Arabidopsis thaliana: one gene and its partners. The protein of the gene in region 2 interacts with the protein of the main gene of each other region in a pairwise test. Each region holds a gene or a part of one and is shown on either strand. Other genes may lie near its edges. The genes, in order: EDA14, RCF3 and AT5G11090.

Region 1 (3,755 bases), on a different chromosome or scaffold from region 2:
AGAAAATAGAATACAATGACTATTGATTGTCCGTTTGATACCTTTGAAAACATCTAATTCATTTCAGATACATACTTTTTAATATCTTTCGGAATCTCTACTGTAGAGATATCACTTTTGCTTCTACCTTGTACCTCCAGTTCTCTAGCCTCCTCTCTGATAAAGGAACAACAGAGTTAAAAAAGAAGATTATAAGAAAACACAAACAATGTGGTACCGGTAATGTCTTTTAAATGTTAAGGTAAGGAGGATCAAATTTTGCAGTGTCCATATGACACATTCAAAATGAATGAGAAAATCACGAAAGCTACACCAAGTAAAGAAAGGACTAAAAGTTGGGATTAACCTGTCTTCTGCATAGTAAACATGTCTACGGCTTGACTGATCCCCAGTACATTGCAGCGATGCAGTCAGCTTGTCAATTTTCTACAAAAGATAAGAAGGAACAAAGAGAAAAACTGGATAAATATGATCGTAAGCAGAAAGCTCTTGGGGTGTGTATGAGGAAAGATAACTTACGTTTTTCTCACTCTGCCATTTTTGGAACACATATCCAATATCTTGAGTCTTCATAATCATAAGCTCTTCCGCAGAGTATTTATTTACCTCATCTCTGAAAACAATAACTTTGTCAAAATTTACAAACCAAGAAGAAAACGAGAAACCATGAGAATAGCAAAAGAGATAATAGTGAAAAGCAAAAAGAAGAAAACGAAGAGTTTCGATATGCTTACTTTGGTCTATGACGTCCATCAACTGTTTTACTATTAATCATCTTAAAGTTGAATTCATCTGGATTCTTGAATGCAGCCTTCTGCCTAAGTATCTGCAGTAAAGTAAAACGGTGTAAGAGAAACTGAACTCCCAACGATTTAGTTTCTTAGCTATCTCACAGATATCATCAATCAATCCCGTAAACTAACAAATGTCTACTTGAAAGACTTTATTAACATAATCTCGACAGTATAATCATAGGAGAGATGGAATTGAAAACAGAGAGTGTAATAGTTACCTTTAAAGTTTCCTGCTTTTTGTGATAAGCATTAGCTCGGATAATATAATCCTTATGCTTCTCGAGGATGCCAAACCTCTTCCTCGCTTCCCTGATGATACGTTTAAAAATCCAAACTTTAAGAAGAGAAACGAAGAAAAGAACAAAAAGGACACCTGAGAGCAATAATAGCTTACGGTTGAGATCGCTCCTTATGAGCAGGCCGTGGAATAGCATTACGCAGCGACGACATGTTGGATTTGCTCTTGACGCTGCAATTTCAGTCACAAAACTGTTTAGAATTAAGAGAGCTTAAAGATGATCTTAAGCTACTCGAGCTCATCAACTTAACGAATTGAAACTGAAACCCTAATCTGAAGTATGAATCTAATCCAACAATGCAACATTCTCAAGTCTAAACCTAACTATGCATTCGAACAGACGAAACGAAAGAAAAAAAGAAGCCAAAGATTCTCACGTGAAATACAGGGGAACCCTAGAAATTAGACGACGCCGAGAAGAAAGGTGAAAAGTAGAAGTCGCCGGGAACACAACAAATTTCACCGATGACCTGAAACTTGGTTTCTGGAAAGGAGTAGAGAAGTCGGCGAGAAGAAGAGTTTAGGGTTTTTTGGGGATAAAGAAAACTCAAACCGAACCTTCTAGCTGAGACTAAGGGTTTAGTGGATACGTCGCAATTACTCATTTACCCTTTTTATCGTTTTAGTTGCTTTACTTGCAAATTATAGTTTCCACACATAAAATGTCTTAACGTCTTTAGATGAAAATTTCGTAATTAACTTTCCAAATGTGATGAGCATTGCACATCTACCGTTCCAAATTTCAATGTATCTTTGTACAATTTATTATTTGTTTGGGGTGTTTCATAAAGAGTGCCAAAATTTGGGGTAGAAATTATAAAACTAACGAAACAATGCATTGCTTTAACTTGACAAACGCACAGATACAGAGAGACAGAAGATATCAAAAAGCTCCAAACGCTTAAAACGTGATCAACAAAGCAACAAAAGTAAACTACGATTATGAAAAAGGTCGAGACTTTACATGATCTTTATCTGTCTCTCTATGTAATTGTGCATCTCTACATGAAACCCACAAGATAAATGCCTAAGCAAAGAATAATTGTTCTTTTTGTTTCTTTGTAGTTCTCATCTGCCGTGCAGATTTAGAGTATTGAAGATTGAAGAATGCAGGTTCATTGAAGCTTAGTGATGACCATCATTTGGAAGTTAACTGCATGTGACATCTGAGTAGAAACCTATTATAGTCCTCCTCTCACAATTCTGGATACTGAGCAACTCCACGTCGAAAACTTCAAATTGCTTCGAGCTGAAGAAGGTCGAAGGTCCCACCTGGTTAGAGCCCAATGAACTTTGTTTTGTCAAAAATATGATCGAACCAAAGTGAAGACAGTTTTTACACAGTACAAGTCTAATCTACATTGGTTTAGATATGTCCCTAAACGAGCATGCTCAAGCTAGTAATTCCATTTGAAACATTGTTGATAGAGGGATGGTATATTCAACGGAATGGCTCAGCAAAAGTTTACCACTAGTCAGGTTTACAGTTCAGACAAGTGTATACTTGTAAGGAACAAGTAAGAACACTAACCGGAGGTCCCAATTCTGGAGGGATTATAATCCTTCTTCGCCCACCGGGCTTCATGTCACGAATTCCCATTTCAAATCCTGCATCATCATTATCCATATAGTATTAAAAATCTTCAATATGTGTTTCCTGTCAAAGAAGATTCTTCATTAACATCCTACTACTAAAGAGCCAAGTTAATGTCTTCTACTTGCCTGGAACAAGTGCATTGGTTCCCATGCGGATTCTAGCAGGAGAACCTTGTATGTAAGTACTATCTATTCGCCTTCCAGACTCATTGTAGCCAATGTAGTGAAAAGTCACCTGTCAAAATAACCATAAAACTCAATGATATCTTCAATTCTATATATCCAAGTAAAGAGCATACCAATTCCATAAATGATCTAACTTCAGATCCTAAGTTTAACTAATCTAACATAGAGGAAGTAGTACCTGCTGACCATCTTTTGGGAAATCACCTTGACCAACATTGAAATCCCGATATATGAGGCCAGAATCAGCCTTGATGTAATTATCAGAAGCTAATACCTTAACCTCAAAACCTGCACTATATCAGCAAAAACATAAACACAAACAAAAGGACAATAAGTTCTCATATTCTTCTTCCACTCAAGAATGAATAATACTCAAAGAAACAGTGAATAAAAGCTTAAACCTTCTCTAACAAAGTTAGGAAACTCGTCAGGAGCATTGTTCTCTCTCTGTATCCTCTTGTTCTGTTCTAGTAACCGTCTCTCATCATAAGGACTCTTTGATTTAGTCTTCGCAGATGAAGACAACGCTGGTAACAACAAACACGGCGAAGCAACTAAAACATAAACAAGACTTCTCCGACTCAAGCTGCAATTAAAAGACCAAGCTTTATCTCCAGAATCAAACCAAAAAAAGGAAAAAAAATTATCTCTCAAGATTGCAAATTTTACCATTGGTCTTTTGGTTCTTCACTCAATGAACAACATACCGAGCGATTGCTCCGAGATAATGACAGTTTTGTTTCACCTATAAGATTTTATGGAACAGTTTTGGTCACTTAACTAGTCTTATGGAACCAGCTTACTGAATCGTAAGATCAATAAGAGTTTTGAGAGATAGAGGGAAGAACTCACAGAGAAATGTAAGTCTTGGAGAGAGAGGA
Region 2 (3,755 bases):
AACTGCTGGAGCTTCTTCTGCATAGTTGGACTGGCGAGAACTGAAGTTGTTATTTCTAAAATTACCACGAGGAAACCTATCGGATGATTGTCTTCTTAGCTGTGGCATGTAATCATCCCCCGCAGCTGCAAACGACCGTTCTGGTGAATGTGAACGCCCTTGGAAATTACTCCGATCACGATGCTGACTCTCCCTTAGACGAGATGATACAATGGCTAAAGCGTTTTTCACTGCATTTAGTTCACCTACAATCTGAAAGAACCAACATTATAAATGCATTTCCCATAGGTAGAAAACACCAAAGAAAGCTTAAACATAACAAATAATGACCAAGCTAACTACATAAGAGTGATTCAACTCTTGTCAACAACCTCAACCTCACAATCACACATTTAAATTATCTAGCATTTCAATAAACTGACTACATTTCATATCAAAATCTCAACAAGATTCACCATTTCAAATATGTTCTCAAAATAGCAATTTTTCAGACCTGAACAATCTCTTCAGAGAGTGAAACACAACGAGGTAAGTTACTTTCTCTTGGAAGAATCCGAATATGAGTCTTAGTTTCAATCCTCATCTGCTCAATAATCTTCCCACCTTTACCCAACAAACAACCAACATGCATCCTAGAAACCACTAATCTAGTCACAACTCTCCCTCCACCAGGTCTAACTCCACCGTAATCCTCCTCCTCTTCCGGCGGAGGTCCACCATAACCAAACTGAGCTTCACTCTCCAAAATCCTGTCATGAACACTAAACAAAGCCTCTTGAGCAGGAGAGAAAGACGGCATTCTCCCATCAGGGTCACGCCTACGATTATCAGAAATCTCAATGATACGCTCTGCATCTCCAGGAACTAGCTCGTGCACGTTAATCCACGCGCCGGTGTGTTGCCTTATAGATTTGATAATTGTCCCGGATTTACCAATAACACCTCCTGCTTTAGCGTCGTGACAGAGGATTCGATAAGTCGTTGTTGCCATCGTTTCAGGATGAGACTTCGATGGCCGGCCATTTCCACCTCCACCACCGCCGCCGCCACGGTATCTGTTATTTCCTCCGCCGCCACCACCAAAGTGGTAATTATTGTTGTAGCGAGGTTTAGACCTAGGCATGGAATCTCCGTCATAGTCTTGGTCATAGTGGTAGTTTCTCTTGGATCTAGATCTCTCCATTTGAATAAAATCGCAAACCCAGAAATCAAAGTTCAAATCTTTAACTAGTCATTTATCAATCTCGCAGCAAATTTTTCGAATTCGAGGGTTTTCTGAAGGATTAGAAAGTTCACAAGCCCTAGAAGGAAGTCTACAGTACCCAATTACTTTCCTTTTTACCGGAAATTGAAAAAGGAAGGAACTTTCCGGTCAATTTCACAGGAATACTTGGAGGGAGAATTCAAGAATGTCCAAAATCGATGGAGGCGAATCGGTGCAATGCAAAAATCACCAGCTTTTTGTGTGTTTTGAGGGTTCTTTCCTGTGAATCTAAAAAGCCAAAGCTTTTTGAAGTTTGAGAGTAGAGAGAGACCGTGCAATGGGTGATGTTAGTGGCGTGCGCTAACTACGATATTAGCTACTCCCAAACGTTGTCGTTTTGGTCTCTTGGGAAATTTGGGTATGCTTCATCTTTAAAAACTCGTATTAAGCTAAATAAATTGTTAGACAAATGAATCGTCATCAGATTTTCGCATAGTTATTAGCACTGATGAAGATGAATTTTTGTGCTCACGTAACGTATTAGTAGATACTAAAAATGTATAAATAATTTTTTTCTAATAGGTAAAAATGATATGATTAATACGTAACCAATTAGATGATTTTTCGTGTTATGTACGAGACTAAAACTGTAGACACGTATGTGTTTTTTTCTAATTTAATTTTTAACTATTTATTAACCGCGGTATTATGTAATTAAGTACATATACTAAAACTGTTTTTGGAAAACAAAAAATCCTTTTAATATTTACCAGGTAAAGTATAATTGGTTTAGTGTTAAAGTTTAGCATATGGTAAAAATCATTTGGTGCATCTAAGTATTGCATCCGTTGAATACCATTTTCATCACCAATCCGTAAGGACAAAAAACGATTTACTATCCCTTTTCAGCAATTTAATTTGTATTGCTTCATTGACAAAATTAATTTTTCAAGAGTTTAAAAATAAAGAAACCAAACTCTCATTGCACTTTAAGTCTTTAACTAAATGATCACTTTTGATGAAAAAAAAAACTAAGGATCAGTTCACAAAAACAAGCAATAACAAATTAACAATACAAGAAAATCGTCTCGCACTTATGGTCAAAGACTCAAAGCTTAAGTTGTTGGTGGATCGTTTCGTCTAAATTGTGAGCCTTGACGGGCATAAGTACTTTCCAAATGATAGGTCTTCCCAACAAATATTTTCCGTTTCAGGAGAAGGTATTGCGTTTTCAGGTTGTGCTACGACAAGATGGTGACCTAAACTATATATAATGAAAAAGCAGCCACGAAGTCATGGAGGTTTTATTATCACATGTCCTGGTGAACAATTATCTAGTGTCCAGCATAAAATGTCAGTAACGATCTTGCCTTGTTTTGTGTCTCGATCTGTCTTCTCCTGAAACCACACCAATATAATATAAAGCAACGCGGATCAAAATAGCAAAACATTATAAAGTTCAACAAATTGAACCGGAGATTAAAATAGTGTAGTGACTACTTCAACAAATGGTCTAAGTTGCTATTGTTTTAGGTTAATGCTCCACTTGTGTTCAGACCCATTATCGCTTCTCTTATATATGATGCATATGAATTCCATTGACGTAGTACTACTTCTACTTCTAGCGTTTTTCACGTGCTATATTTCTATACAACATAGTTTTCTCGTGTAAAAAATTTGACCGTTGACCTTTGTTAGATATTACCCGCCAATAAAATCCAGCCGACCAATCCTACGTGGCAGTCCTAACCTCCACCCAAAAAACCGAACCGAACCACACCACAGACCCAATCTCTCTCTCTTCCGATAGAAAAGTCCTTTCCTTTCTTCTCCTCTTCTCCTCTCCGGTTATTCAAAATCTGATCCCACCCAGATATCAGAGTTTGAGAACAAAAAAAGCGATGCCGTTTTGCGAGGTCGTGAAAGAAGATGTCGGCCCAGAGACGACGCTTAACAATGCCGCAATCAAAATCTTCTACAGAACGTACGGTCATGGTCCTATCAAAGCTCTTCTCATCATAGGTCTGTTGTAATCTCCATCTTTCCCATTTGATTAGTTTCCTTAGCAATTCCGAGCTTGATTTCAATTGGGTTTTTCTAATTTTGTTCAGGTTTAGCCGGAACCCATGAGTCATGGGGTCCTCAAATCATGGGATTGACGGGAACGGATAAACCCAACGACGATGATGACGACGACGGAGGAATTGTTTCCGATGATTCCGGCATCGAGGTTTGCGCTTTCGATAATCGTGGTATGGGTCGAAGCTCTGTGCCTACCCACAAATCTGAGTACACGTGAGCCAATTTCATTACTGAAGAACTTAAAATTCTCTGCTTTGTGTTCTTAATCTCGGTTTTAACAATTTCCTGTGAAATTGGTTTTGTTAGCTTCTTCACTCAATTTGGGTTTTGTTTTGGTACAGAACAACGATAATGGCAAATGATTCAATTAGTTTGTTGGATCATTTGGGTTGGAAGAAAGCTCACATAATTGGTCATTCTATGGGTAATATGTTTGATCACTCAAGTGACTATTGATTGTTTTTCTGAG
Region 3 (3,755 bases), about 18 Mb from region 2:
TTTTACCAAAACACTTTTTTTCCATTTCCCTCCTATGTAAATTTTGTCTTCAGTCATGTTTTTCCCTCCATAGATTTTTCGTTGTTTTTTTATATATGTCCAGAAAGTGAAGACCTTTTCCACCTCTTTTGTTTTTGTTTTTAATGTATTTTTCTACTAATTTATTTTGTTTTTCTCTCAATTCCATCTGAATTTTCATGTCCCTGTTAGTCAAGTAGTTCAAACTCCATCACCAAACGCAACCTGCAAAACAAAAACAAAATTCAAAATGTCCACGAAAATATAACTACAAAAAAATGTAAGTAACATAAAACGGAAAAAAAAAAAAAACGAATGGAACATACCTGACACGACGAATAACGCATACCTGGAAAACTAACGCAACGCTTCACGGTAGAAACGACGACGGATAATGGCAAACAACGCCGGTCAACGGAGTACACGAACGTTGACTTGACGGGACACGAAAAAAAAAACGCTAATCTGACAAACACATACACAATTGATTGTGAGGAATGAGAAATCTCACTTTGTTCAATACAGAAATTAGATTCAGTTCTTTGATTTTCGATTTTAGGTCTCTAATTTTTGGTGAGACTCCGAACATTTTTTTTTTTTTGGGGTTCGACAAAGACGCAAGAGAGAGCAACAAAAACAGTAAAAAAGAGAACGTATGTACAATGCATTCTAGCATCTTCTTTCACCCAACAACAAAAAAATTATGATAGGTGTGTGTTTCTTCCTTTTACAAAATCTCGATTTCTCGAGGATGATTCTTCTTCGCAGACCTCAGCTTCATAACAAGACTTCTTCGCCGGATCTACTAAATCCTGTGGTGGTTTTCGTTTAAAGAGAGAAGAACAACAAACAAAACAAACCTGAATTAACCAAAATCCAGATCAAAATCAATTCTCATCAGCTTTCGCCATGATTGAGAGTCGACTAGGACGTGGCTGATAAGCAGCTCGTCTTTTCAGATGATGCGAAGAAGGTCGAATCAAAGTAGTCAAAGCTCTTCTCACCCACTCTCCTTCAACACCACCAATTCTCACCAGCGAATTAGTCATCGCAGATCGACGCATATTCAATCCATTCGTTGTATACGAAGCTGTACCTTGACCATGTGGATTCGCTACGTTCTTATGTAGACTGCATCTGAAAGATCCTGGATGCGTCGTCGGAGAACACATACATCTCCTTGAGATCTTGTGATTATGGCTCGGTGGCTGATTCTTCGAAACGGAGATCGATTTGTTAGTCGGAGATATAGATCTGCTATCGAGAGAGTAACGAAACGACTGAGACATCGGTTGCGCTGTGTAGAGATTCACACGAGTCGGTGACGCAGATCGGTGGTGACTGTGATTGCTCTCGTGATGACGGTGATTGCTGAAAAAAGCTGACGACGGAGATGAAAAGCTAGAACTCGTTGATGAAGCGAAAGCTGATGAAGAAGATGACGGAACGGCTCTTGAGTAACCACCGCAAAATCGACCTGACGGTGATTGTGAACGAAGCACCGGTCCGTTTGACTTGGTTCGTGACGATGTAGTCACCATTTTTTTCTTCTATGAAAGTCAAATTTGTGAGAGAGGAAGAAGAAGAGAAGAACAAGGTTTTTTTTTTTTTTTTTTGATTAGCTGCTCTGTAGAAAGTGCCTAAGGGAGGTTGGTTCGGCAAACCTAGCGAGTCTCAGGAACCGAATTTATAGCAAAAGCTTGTTCAATGGCAATAAATGTAAATACGTTCAAAGACTTTGACCATTTTCGAAATTTAGGTATTTCTATGTCGGGTTAGTCAAATTTAACCATGGTTAATGAAACTTAACTATGGTTAGCAAAATAAATTACTAATTTGTTTTTCAATTTGAGGCGGTTTTGCCGTTTCGAAAAGAATCGGGTTCGGATCCAACGGCTGAGATGACAAATCAGAGGGAATGCTTTTGGGGGCAGTTAAAAAAGCTGCCACGTGTCATGACTAAGAAAGATGTCAGCTCTTAAGTAGGAGAGTACCCAGAGAAAGTTTAGATAATTACGTAAATTGCCATTGCCCGTTGTTTTGCCAAGAGCCGGATTTACATTTCCAATGGTTTTATTTTGTTTGTTTTATCGTCACAACCCAATGGTTCTGTAACGGTATTGATTCAGATTAATAAGATTATACAAAAGTTTAGCATCTAACAACATTTGTGTAAATTTAGGCTATCTAAAGAAGGCTTCGAATAAATCAGTCTTATGTATAGTGTATTCTAGAGTAAAACATTTTTGCCAACATAAAATAGTTTTAATAAATGTAAGAGAGTTCAATACTAATAAATTAGTGAGCTAAAATCACATATGTCAAACCATTCAAAAGTCTACCAAATAAATATGACTTTATATTGGGTTTATAAAATAATTTTAATAGCAATTTGAAGATTTGTGTCATATTTATTTGGTAGACTTTGAATAGTTTTATAAACATATTTTAAATAATTAAATTTGGTTTATAAAATAAATTTAATAGCAATTTGAAGATTTATGACTTTTAGTAATTTTAGATTTTGTAGTAGATATTAAAAGCTTACATTGATCAAATTTAGCACTCTATTGTTCTTGTTTTTTTTTTGTCTGAAACATGCCTTTGGTCTACGTATATAGTCTCTTAACATCAAATATTAATTACTAATTATTATTTTTTTATAATAAATATCAAAATTAGTTTTTTTTTTTTTTGGGTTCATCAATACTAGTTGCTAATACCCAACAACATCAATATAGAAATCTTATAACATGAAGGTAACATATAAAGTTACATCTATGATCTAACTGACACCATCATTAAAAGTACCTACGTTTGCTGGTTTGTTTCCTTTCAAGATGGTTTAATGCTAGAAGAAGAAATAACAGCTCACTACCAAATAAAAAAGGGCCAAAGAGAGAGGACTTGATATAGCTAGTTTTTTGGAAGGCAATGCCAATCGTTAATTCGTAACACTTTAAGAATTTCGTATTATGATCATAATTAGTCAAGAGTTACTCAACACGTAACACTTAACATATTTCAACAACTTTTCACCTTAAACCTACTGGTGAGTTAGCCAAACTCTTGAATGGGCTTAAAAGCAATGTAACAACAACAACGAATCTAGCATTTGGTATAAAGTTGTTACGGTGGAGGAGATCCATGCAACTGTGTTTCATATTAGACCTAAAGAGTCCCTACAAATTGATGGAACTACTGACTCGAACACTATTCTGATGTATTAGAACATTTATATGCTATCTTAAAGGTATAACAGCTTCTCTGCAGAAGGAATTTGGTGATGAACTCAACCATAGTAATAATATATGTCTTATTCCAATGCGTCCTTAACCGCAAAATACAAAATATGCTTAGACAGATTATTGCCAGTAATAGTTTTGGTGCAGAATATCAATTTTAAGAATTTGATGGATACATTTCAGAGAGTTCTTACCAACTAAACCTTTAAACACGGTTTCTACAGATATTAAACGTTTGACGGTCAGAAACGACCTATATTTTGTCTAATTTGATTAAATATTTAAGAGAGAATTATGATTGAGATTATTAATAAGGTCTGATCTACTCGTTTCACATTTTGTCTAAATTGGTCTTGACAGAATCCATATTTTGTGTGTAATTAATTCTTAGTAGCACCTATCAAACGTTAATACCACTAAAATAGTATTATACCTGATAAAAACTAAAAGAAAGTAAAACTAATATTAGACATTAGTATATGATTAGGTGGG

The links.
Region 1: the proteins of RCF3 (region 2) and EDA14 interact in a two-hybrid assay, tested with the Arabidopsis thaliana proteins (one large-scale study listed by BioGRID).
Region 3: the proteins of RCF3 (region 2) and AT5G11090 interact in a two-hybrid assay, tested with the Arabidopsis thaliana proteins (one large-scale study listed by BioGRID).

The regions. Positions count from the first base shown.
Region 1 is NC_003074.8:22,312,759-22,316,513, forward strand, and holds the start of EDA14 (embryo sac development arrest 14), read right to left. Parts: upstream 1,670-3,755; 5' UTR 1,470-1,669; intron 1,264-1,469; 5' UTR 1,245-1,263; coding exon 1,189-1,244; intron 1,104-1,188; coding exon 1,013-1,103; intron 827-1,012; coding exon 735-826; intron 614-734; coding exon 520-613; intron 427-519; coding exon 347-426; intron 157-346; coding exon 76-156; intron 1-75. Other genes in the region: AT3G60370 (FKBP-like peptidyl-prolyl cis-trans isomerase family protein), read right to left, coding at 2,242-2,364, 2,624-2,700, 2,815-2,923, 3,053-3,162, 3,276-3,460, 3,544-3,619, 3,727-3,755.
Region 2 is NC_003076.8:21,512,783-21,516,537, reverse strand, and holds the start of RCF3 (RNA-binding KH domain-containing protein), read right to left. Parts: upstream 1,643-3,755; 5' UTR 1,184-1,642; coding exon 494-1,183; intron 253-493; coding exon 1-252. Other genes in the region: AT5G53050 (alpha/beta-Hydrolases superfamily protein), read left to right, coding at 3,106-3,226, 3,316-3,499, 3,628-3,710. UniProt on the Arabidopsis thaliana protein: Acts as a negative regulator of osmotic stress-induced gene expression. Involved in the regulation of thermotolerance responses under heat stress. Functions as an upstream regulator of heat stress transcription factor (HSF) genes.
Region 3 is NC_003076.8:3,522,600-3,526,354, reverse strand, and holds AT5G11090 (serine-rich protein-like protein), read right to left. Parts: upstream 1,679-3,755; 5' UTR 1,560-1,678; coding exon 906-1,559; 3' UTR 509-905; downstream 1-508.